Linked DNA regions of Sus scrofa. The protein of the gene in region 2 interacts with the protein of the main gene of each other region in a pairwise test. Links are inferred from orthologs where the notes say so. Each region holds a gene or a part of one and is shown on either strand. Other genes may lie near its edges.

Region 1 (5,075 bases), on a different chromosome or scaffold from region 2:
GGGAGAGAGGGAGGGAGGGATGGGTGATTGAATGTAGAAGAGTGAAGTGTGTGAGACCAGTTGAAAAAGTCTTGATAAGGAATAAAACTGGAACAGCCTCAGCAATCCTCAAAACCCCGCCATAAAGTCACAGTCATCAAAACGGTGTCATTGGGCGCAGCACACACAAATAGATCAAAGAAAGACAGGGACCCCAGACACACGCTGCTCCACTTTCTGGGCTTCTCTGTGCCGCTAGGTTTCCCGTGATAGAAGAAAGGTATTTTAGATATTAATGTTGTGGAGCTGTCTGACTTATACAGTGTTACCTTACAGATACCTGGCATTTCCTCATAGGGAGCCCCTCAAGTGTAGACGCCAGGCTTTCTCCTGGGCACATGAAATGCAGGACGGGGAGGCAAAGCCCTGCTCATAGCCACACAGTCACACATAAAGCCAACGACAGCCAGGGAAAGTTAGAAGGGAAAAGAGTGTAGGGCAAGGAGGTGGGAGCTGCAAAGCTAAGCAGAATGGGCGGTGGTCTGATTGAGGCCTGAGTGTGTTCGGCCCAGGCCCTTTGAAGTCACACAAGCCAGGCCGACTCCAGCCCTCCTGTCTCCCGTGCCCAGGTCACCGGTCACCGTGCACCATGCAGAGTTCACAGCCCCCCTGACCCCAGCCCAAGACCACCCCAATCCAGGGTCCTGGGAGATGGTGGGTCTGGACCCCACACCCTTCCAGGAAGTCAGCACAAGCCCCTCCCCGCTCTGCCAGGTGTGAGGGACCTCAGGCCTTGTTCCCCAGTTACCAGGTCCGCCTTTCCTCCTTTCTGCCCCAGGCCGTTCATTCTTTCAGGAAAGCGGTGTTTAGCTGTGTCCTCAGGCCCCTTCCAGGACCATCTTGAGGACTGGCCTGAGTTCTGCAGGATGTCCCCAAGCTGGGTTTATCTGGTATTTTCTGAGAGGACTGGCTGTACTGGTTTCCTGGGGCTGTTCTAACAAATCACTGCAAATTGGGTGACTTGAAACAAGAAGAATTTATTCTCTCACGTTCCTGAGGCCACATGTCCAAGATCAGGGTGATCAGAGTGTCACAGGGCCGAGCTCCCCACCCCAGGCTCCAGGGGAGGATCCTTCCTGCCTCTTCCAGTTTCTGGTGGCCCCTAGGCACCCTGGGCTTGTGGCTGTGTCCCTGCAGCCTCTGGCCCCACTGTCATGTGACTGTCTTCCCTCCATCTCTCCTCAGAGTGTCCCTCTAAGGACACTCAACGTTGGATTTAGGACCCATTCAGATAATCCAGAATGATCTCTTGCAACTCTTAATCACACCTGCAAAGACCCTTTTTCCAAATCAGCTCCCACTCACAGGTTCTGGGTGTCAGGACGTGGGCACACATTTTGGGGAGGAGGCACCATTCAACCCAAGACACTGGGGTTACAGGTTTAGGAAAAAACACGCTAAGGTGACGTGCCCTTCTCATCAATTTCTGCTGAGGGGGGGGCTCTGTCACCCCCAGGATATCACTGTGAAATTGACCTTGACCATCTGGCGAAGATGGCATCTGCCCAATTTCCTCTAGGTTGGGTTCTAGTCTTCTCTTTACAAGCAAGCCCCCAGATTGGGCCCACCCAGGATTGGAGGTGGGAATGAGGTCCAGAGGAACTCTCCAGAAGGAAGCTTGTCCTCTCTCCACCTCTGTTCCATCAGTGAGGGTCTTGGGTGTTCATTTTAGACTCTGGCTCATGACCCCCCTGTATTTTAAGCCAGCCCGTACAGAGGACGAGCCCTGGGCCACTGTGATCAGCACAGGGTCCATCCTCCCAGTGGTCCCGGGAAGGAGGGGTCCCAGGGCTCAGTCCCCAGTCACGGGGGGAAACTGAGGCTCAGCAAGGGCCAGGGTCACTCATGGGGCAGTCATCTACCCGACCACTGACCACTGGAGGTAAAATTTCAACAATGCATATGAAATAATCACTGAAAGGCTAAAAAGAAAAAGAACTAGCACCTTCAATGGAGGACGCCCACAGAGCAGGAATGTGGGGTAGGAACGGTGCGAGGGAGGCTGGGGGCTCAAAGGCAGCACATCCACCACCTCCAGCTCTGAGTTTTCGGTGGGGGGGGGGGCTGCAACACACACATGGTCCTGAGGACCCAACCACGGGCCTGGAACCTTCCTTGGACAGGAATTTAGACCCAGTTGTTCATTAATAACCAAGAAAAACCAGAAAGAAGGATTTCAGAGGCACAGGCTAAACAAAAGCCACACATCAGAAAGGTAGAGAGGACCCTCACAGCAGGCTGGGGGACACTCCAAGCAGAATGAGGAGAATCCCCCTAACCCCTCCCCTAACAGAACCCCCTCAGCGCCTCCCCGCTACCCAGAGAGCAGGGCCAGAGGAACCAGCAGTGGGCAGGGCAGTGTCTGACATCAGCCCCACCCCACCTAAGGGCCTGGGGGCCGCATCCTAGAGACTGGCAGAGGGATGGGGCCTGGACCCAGAACTCCCGCCTCTGGAGAAGAGGCCTTGGGGGTAAGGGGTCAGGGAGCTGAGGGCAGCACCGAGATGGGGGGTCACTGCAGGTTCTGTGGCTCAGGAGTCTGGGGGTCTTGGGTTCATGAGCTGGAGGTCTGATGAGGCTCTGGGGGTCTAGCCCCAAAAAGGATGGGGAAGTCAGGGGGAGGAGGTCATGATGGAGGATGTGGAGGGAGGTGGCTGTGTCTGGGGTCCTCAGGCTGGCCAAGCTGGGACAGCAGGGCCTGGAGAGCCTGGCAGGGGTTGAAAGGTCCCAGGAACGCCAGGGGTGGAAAAGGTCCCTTGGTCTGGGAGATCCTGGCCAAGGTGGTGGGGTCAGGGGTCGCAGAGCCAGGAGTCACTGATGAGAATGAAAAGGCAGAGGGTCTCAGGACCAGAATATGGCTAGTATCTGGAAATACGGGGTGGATGGGCGCCTGGTAGGGCCGAGGAAGGATGGGGCCTGAGGATGATGGGTACTGGGGACGAAAGGGTCCTAGAGACACTGGATGTCCGGGGAGGGCAGGTCCCTGAGCCAGCAGGGTTCCGCGAATGGCGGGTCCCCGATCCAGGGAAGATGGGTCCTGGGGATGGCGGGGTTGGGGGCCGGGGGTAGGTCCCAGGGGTGGCAGGGTTCGGGGACGGTAGGTCCAGGGGGTTGGTGGATCCCAGGGGTAGCGGGGTTCGGGATGGCAGGGGCGGGGGCGGAGGGTTCGGGACGGCGGTCCCGGGACAGCGGCCCACCTGTGCGCCGGGATGCGCTGCGCGCCGAGCCCCTTGCCCACCAGGAAGTGCACGTCGCAGAGCACCTCGTTGTTGAAGAGGAAGGCGAAGCGCTCCTTCACCGTGGGCTTGGTGGCCTGCCAGTTGTAGACGGGCTCGCGCAGCAGCGCGGCCGCCCCCGGCTCCTCGGCCGCCCGCTCCCCGCCCGCCGCGGCCTGCGCGCCCGGCCCCGACACCGGCGGCGGCGGCCCGGGGGCGGCGGGGGCCGGAGCGGCGGCGGCGGCCGCCGCGTTGCCGGGAGCCGGGGCGGCGTTGGCGCTGGGCCCCGGGCCGCCCCCCGCTCCCGGGCCGACCCCCGGCGGGCACGACGCGCGCCCGCCGCTCCCACCCGCCGCCATCTTGTCGGTGCGGCGCCGGGCGGGGCGGGGCGGGGAGGGAGGGGGCGGGGGAGGGGGGGTAGAGCGGAGGGGGTGGGGCAAGGGGGGGGAGGAGGGGGCAAGGGGGGAAGGGAGGGGAGGGGGAGAGACCGGAGAGGAGGGGCAAGGGGGGGGGGGAGGGGGCGAAGGGGAAGGAAGGGGAAAATTAAGCGTCTAAAAAGTGACTGGGATGGAGTTCCCTGGTGGCTCAGCAGGTTAAGGATTTGGCGTTGTCATTGCTGTGGCTCGGGTCATTGCCGTGGCACAGGTTCGATCCCTGGCCTGGAAACATCTGCATGCCGGGCAGGGCAGAAAAAAAATAAAAGGGTTGGGAGACCTCAGGATTCTCAAAGCCTGGTCCTTCCCGTGGAGAAGGGATTTCTTCATTTGGGCGGTGGCCCATGGACCGCCCGCAAAGCCACAGGCAAGACATTCCTCCTCAGTGTCCAGTTTCAGCCCGAATCCTGGCCGGTTCTTACCTCCAAAGCAGACCTTGAATCGTCTCCCTTTTCCTGGGTCCCCTCGAGGACCGGCTCTGCTCTCACCTCAGGGAAGTAAATTTTTAACACTGGGCTGCATGGGGTTTTTTTCAGGGTGGGGGGCGCCCCCATGTTTTCATTTTGCACTGTTCCGGAGAATTCTGTGGCAGTCCAGGCCCCATTCCACTACCACTGTCGTCTAAAACTGCCCAGCTTGCTCCCTGACAACCACCAGCCCCAACAACCCAACCTTCCTTACTCTTTTTAGAATCTAGCCTCCTCCCAACTTAAACCAGGTCTTTGGGAGCCGCTGCTTAAAGCCCTCCAGGTGCTCCCCATGAAAGCCAAACCCCTTCACCTGGGAACTCAGCTCTGTGGATGTCATCAGCCCTCCTAGCTCCTTGGCATTAGCCCCACCCCTACGATAGACTTCCACTATCAGCCTTAGCCCCTGGATTTTAGACACTCCCACCTTGCCAGCCCACTGCCTCTGCCCTTTGGGGTGAGAAATGAACAGAAGGCCAAATCGTACAACATTATAACCATGCGCAAAGCCATCTCAAACCTGATTTTTTTTTCAAAGATCTTTGTTTCACTTTAAAAGTAATATATAGGGGGAGTTCCCGTTGTGGCGCAGTGGTTAACGAATCCGACTAGGAACCATGAGGTTGCGGGTTCGGTCCCTGCCCTTGCTCAGTGGGTTAACGATCCAGCGTTGCCGTGAGCTGTGGTGTAGGTCGCAGACGTGGCTCGGATCCTGCGTTGCTGTGGCTCTGGCGTAGGCTGGTGGCTACAGCTCCGATTGGACCCCTAGCCTGGGAACCTCCATATGCTGCGGGAGCGGCTCAAGAAATAGCTAAAAAAAAAAAAAAAAAAAAGTAATATATAGGAGTTCCCACTGTGACACAGTGGGTTATGAATCCGACTGCAGCAGCTCAGATCCCCGCAGCCCAGCACAGTGGGTT
Region 2 (5,693 bases):
CTTCAAGCCCTTGAAATGGTAAAAGGACTACTAGCCCCCAACCTGATGTTACCATTATCAACTCTACAGACAGTTCATCAGTCTTCACAGTACTGTGATAATGACTCAGCCCCAGTTCAAGTAGTGCTACCAATACCTAGAAAGGAAGTCTTTTCTCATAGGTAGATGATGGTTTCTGCTCCCGAATCTCCCAGCAATTCTCTAAATATAAATACATTTCACAAATAACAGATTTTTTCCCAGCAGTTGAGTATGGGCCAAAATATTCTAATTTCTATATGCACACCAACAGTTTTAACTACTGTAAAGAATAAACTCCAAAGGCAAAAAAACCTTTTAGATCTTAGAGGATAAGGGCAGGCAAATGAGGGCTTTTTGTTTTAATATATGAACTGGCACAGTTAATCTGTAAGATGGGTTAGGTCCACTTAAAACCATGCTTAAGCAAACTCTTAATACAAAGATCAATAATAACTTGTCTGGGTATAATTAAACATTGATTTTTATTTTTTTTTAAACTCTTTCGTAGTTACATAAATCAATCACTAGTTATCAGTGTATTACTTAATAGAGAAAGCACACAGCTACTAATACTACATCTTTCTTCTAGACAATATTTACAAAGGTAATACTCCAGTGTCAGATCATTAGGGCAGTAGGGAAGCAGTTTAAGTGCTTATCCTCTTAAAAGAGCAGGTTTAGATAAAAAAACAAATGACAAACTATCAAATTCGTCCCTCTCGACTTTCTCAGCTCTGTAAGAAAGTAAAGATGTGCAGCTTTTAATTTCTTCCTACTAGAATCATACAGAGCATAGTGGCTAACCTTGTGAGCTTTGTAGTGTCCAACTCACTGCCCTTGGAAAGCTGGTAAATATACCCAAGTCTCAGTTTCCTTACTTATGGAAATGGAGATAATAGTACCTAACTCATAAGGGTTCTTCCAAGGATTAAATTAAACTAGTTAATCCATGAAAAGAGCTGAGATGCATGTCTGGAACAGTATATATTCAATAAATATGAACAATTATTGCTATTACAAGTGAAAAATTCTAAAAGTCAATATAACCAATTTACTCCAGTCTCTACCAAAAAATGGCACTAAAGATCAATAATTTACCTAGCCTACCATCATTCACATATACAATAGTTCCTCTGTATAATCTATGTGAGAACCACGGAGGTTAACTTTCTGAGAAAGGACAACACTTTGTTTCATTACTAGATACATTACCTACTCAGCCTAGTCTCAAAGTCAAAAGAACATTTATTTATTCTGTATTAAGATCCTACCTTCTTCCAAGAGAGGTCAAAAGGACATCCTCATCTGACACATCCTTTCTTTGCTTCCACATCCCAAAGAAACATATCTACACTCTGGCTTTCTGAACTGCAAGGGCCTCATCTCCCTCTTTTAAAACCCTGATAGGCTGACTGAACAGTTAGGAAATACTCTAACCCCTGACACTCAGCACCTAGTCTTGCACAACACCCAGCTACCTCCTCTGAGAAATTTCCCCACCCCCAGACTGAATGCCCTAGTCACCCAAAGCATTTCGGGTATACATATGCCCCAGCACCTACCTTATAATTAACTAATTATGTCTCCCCAGATAGACTGGATTGAAGGCAAGAACAGCAGTGTCCGGGCCAAAGATTCAACTTTAGTACTTAGCACAGTGCTGGGCACATCTCTCAGGTGCTCAAAAACTGTTACATTTTAACCAGATTCTCTCCTCTCCCCTAGTACTATCTCCTGCTGGATGCCCTACTCCAAAATCTGAACATAAGGCTGCTCTGCTCTCAGTAGAGCAGGCTAACACGATGGACTGCTGATTACAACATCAGAAAACCTACTCATCAGCTTCTCCCATTGGAGAGATTCCCGGAACCCAAACTCAACTGAGCAGAATTATGTATACCATCAGAATGGGTGGGAATTCCCAGCACACTACAGAGGGTGCCTTCTCCTCCAAAAGGATTGCTGAAAAGCTCACAGGGGAAGCTTTTCCTGGGGAATCTTCACTGAGCAACTGAACTGGAAATACTCAGAGTAAGTGCCTTGATTTGGCTGAAAAGGGTTCAAAAATATGAACATCTGGCAAAAGTCAGCTAGCTCTCAATTCCTGAAAAACAGTGGCTTCTGAAGAAGAATGAGCAGGAAGAATGGGTGCTGGCCACTCTTTGTTTCAATAAATAAAATCTTTTTTTTCTGACCCACAGCCCACAAGAAAAGGCCAGTACTCCAGGCCAGATGAGATGCTGAACAACCTTTCCTCCTGACAACCACATGAAACTGCGTTAGAAAAACACTGCTTTGGGAATCTCAGCCCCAATGAAAAGTTCTAGTCGGTGTTACTTTACTTAAAAAAAAAAAAAATCTATATGCCCAAGTCCAACATTGGATGGCCCACAGACAACTTGTAAACTTTCTGAAAGTAGATACCACTACCCTGGCAAAGAACACAACTTGGGGAAAGCAATCTCAAAAGGTGAAGAACTCCACAAAGGAGGGCTTTAGTTTTAGAGCCCTAATTCTAACCATCAAACATCTCACCGAAGGGGTGGGGGGATCAACAGTTGCTCAAGGGTATCTTTCATTCTGGAAGCAGAAAAGGAAACAAACAAGAAGCAGTAGGGGAATAACCCCTCAAATAAAGTTCTCTTTGGAAAAAAATAGTAACAATTCAGGCTCCCACCCTTCCCTCTGCTGAGGTCTGTGATTTATATGGCTTTGCTCTGCAGAAAGCTCTTTCTGGGCAGCTCAGGGAAGGAGCCGAGGGAGGGAGAGAAAGAGACACAAGCACAGAAAGGAGAGGAGAGAGAAAAAGAAAATGGCGCAGAGACTAAGTCCCGACTGTCGACAGGGCGACTTTCCCGGGAGGAATCCGGGCCCGGAAAGGCTGCCCGACGCCCGGTGACGGGCGACGCGGGGTCTCCGTTGCCCCCTCTTGGGAGGGCCGCGATATGGGGGCAGTGGGGTCCCCGGAAAGGGGGTCCAGAGGCGGCCCGATGGGAACAATGGGGCCGGTGAGCGAGAAGCCGGGACTTAGTCTCTGGGACGCCATGTCTGTCCTCTGCCCGGCTCGGGCCGGGCGGCCGGGGACCCGGGGTCGGGGAGGGGGCACACTCACCATTCAGTCGGAAATCCGCCTCGATCTGGGGAGAGAAAAGGAGGGACCGTGAAACAACAGGCACATTCACCCCGCGGCGGCCGGCGGGCGAGCGCGCGCGGCCGTGGGCCGGTCCCACCCTGCGCCCCCCGGGATGGAGGGGCCCCGGGAACGGCCGCCAGGGCCCGCCAGCCCCCCAAAATTGGAAGTTGGCGGCTTCCGCCCGGGGAGCCCATCGCCTCCGGCCGGCCGCCCCTACCCAGGGGTTCCGGCCTGTCAAAGCGGCCAGGCCGAGGCCGGGGCCTGCGCCGGGGGTCTTGGAGGGCCGGGGCGGCGCCGGGGACCCAGGCGGGTCGGGCAGGGCCGTACCTGGGAATCGGTGTGGAGATGGTCCCCACTCATGTCGGCAGGAGTGGCGAGTGCGGCGGGCGGCGAGGGGCGCCGAGGAGACGCAGACGGTCGCTACCGGCCTGTGCGGGTGGACAGGGGCTTCCGGAGGCTCCCGAAGGCTCCCGGAAGCGCGAGTAAACGTCGGCGGGGCGGGCCTGAGACTCCCGGTAAGGCTGAGGCGGCGACAGCGGCGGCGACGCTGACTGACTGCCGGGCGGGAGGCGAGAGCAGACCCCAGCAGTTGTGTAACAGCCTAAGTTCGCATTTCGGCTCACTGCGCCTGCGCGGCCGCTTTTAAATGAGACGTCGCTGACGTCAGAGACTCGCGGAAGGAGGCCGAGGGTTGTGGGGCCCGCCCCCTCGCACTTCCCAAGGAGGACCTGGCTTTGCATCGTAAGCCCCGCCCCTTAGTCCTCGCGCGCCGCTGTGATTTGCATGAGAAGTTGACTCCTCCCACGGCCGCACATCCTGAGCAGCCTTCTTTTCCTCTCCCAGCGCCTTTTCTCGGAAACCAGGCCCCTCCCCTAGGCTGTGCGCAGGCTCAGCCCGGACACCGCCTCCGGACCGGGGCCGGCCACTCGGCCACGTGGTGGGCCTTTAAAGGCCGCGGCGGGACCGCGCCAGGCCTGGTCCGTGCTTCTGTCTCGCTTTTTCCTCTTCTCGGAGATTCAGAAACCCTGGCGTTCAGGGCCCCTGAGCTCTCACCGGCTATTCCTCTCTCGTTAACCATACTCCGAGGCTATTTGATGGGAGGAGCTCCTTCCCCAGCCTTTGTCCAGGCTTTCCAATTCCTCGATTATTTCATGCTTTCTTAAAATTTATTTTATTTTTTTTCAGCCCACCAAAAGTCTGGTTTAGCTCCCGTTTTCAGTCGGGTACGTGTGGCCCTGGGTCTCAAGAGGCCTAATTTCATTAGTTCTTTCTTCAGACCTTCCTGAGCCAGGAATTGCGTTAAGAAAAAGGATAGGATAGGGACCAAAGAGAACCAGATCGCGGGGTGAACACGACCTGGCTCTGTGCCCTGCTGTATCCTTAGCGCGCAAAGAGGCCTAGGGGAGAGGAATTGGAGAGAGAACTGCCGCTTATGGAGCATCTACTCTGCTCTGATTTGACACAATAGCTCTTTGAGGTCGCCTATTTTACTAAAGTTTAATTGTGTCAGAGATAAGTGACCTACTAACTGCCTACTTGACATCTCCTTTTGGATACCTCACAAACTTCCCTAAACTCACCATCTTCCTCCACCACCCAGTTAGAAAAGCTCCACCCTGGACATCTTCCTTTTCTTTCTCATTCATCCAGCTGATTGCATGTTTTCAATCTTTCCCTTGGCCACACACCTGTCGAAGTCTGCATTATCTCTTGCTTGGATTATACTACATAATACATTCCTAACAGGGATCCCTGCTTCCCTTCTGGCCCTCTCACAAGTTGCTCTGCAACAGTAGCCAAAGTAATTTCTCTACACCAGATCTATTATCCCCTCCAACAGTACTTCTCATCTTAGTACAAAGTTCAAAGTTCTTTTTTTTTTTTTTTCTTCCTGGTCACACTCATGCATGCGGAAGTTCCCTGTCTGGGGATGAAACGTGCTACAATTGTAACCAGAGCCACAGCAATGACAACCCAGGATTCTTAACCCACTGGACCAAGAGAGAACTCCATAAACCAATCTAATTTTGAATTCTGCTCTTCTGTTGATTAGCTGTGTGACTTCAGGAAAGTTGTTTAACTTCTCTGAACCCCTATTTCCTCATCTGGACAATGGCGATAATGGTGAAAAAAATTTTTAATTAACATATAGTTGATTTACAATGTTCTGTAATGGTGGAATTTTAAGGTTTTGTTTTTTTTGTTTTCTTGTTTTTGTTTTTTTTTAAGTTGTTTGAGAATACAAGGCTACTAATTGATGAGTTTTGGATTCAAACTCAGGTCTGCTTGACTCCACAGCTATGCTCTTTCTCTCAAGCAAGCTACCAAAACCAGTTTCATCTTGCTTTCGGTGTCTTTCTTCATAGTCCTCCCATCTCGGAATTAATCCCAGGCCACCAGGTGAGGCGTGTGACTACTACCTGTTTGCTGCAGTCAGGCCAAAGTAACTCGAGGACTGCCTTAAGGAATAATAGCGCCTCCCACCACTACTCCTCCACCATCCCCTAAAGCCGGGGAAACTCTGCATGCATTTTCCAGG

Evidence for each region.
Region 1: the proteins of TOP1 (region 2) and BTBD2 interact in a two-hybrid assay, tested with the Homo sapiens proteins (2 studies listed by BioGRID). The link is inferred for Sus scrofa from reciprocal best matches to the Homo sapiens genes TOP1 and BTBD2.

The regions. Positions count from the first base shown.
Region 1 is NC_010444.4:76,537,085-76,542,159, reverse strand, and holds the start of BTBD2 (BTB/POZ domain-containing protein 2), read right to left. Parts: upstream 3,623-5,075; 5' UTR 3,614-3,622; coding exon 3,237-3,613; intron 1-3,236.
Region 2 is NC_010459.5:43,708,401-43,714,093, reverse strand, and holds the start of TOP1 (DNA topoisomerase 1), read right to left. Parts: upstream 3,825-5,693; 5' UTR 3,515-3,824; coding exon 3,482-3,514; intron 3,159-3,481; coding exon 3,134-3,158; intron 1-3,133. UniProt on the Homo sapiens protein: Releases the supercoiling and torsional tension of DNA introduced during the DNA replication and transcription by transiently cleaving and rejoining one strand of the DNA duplex.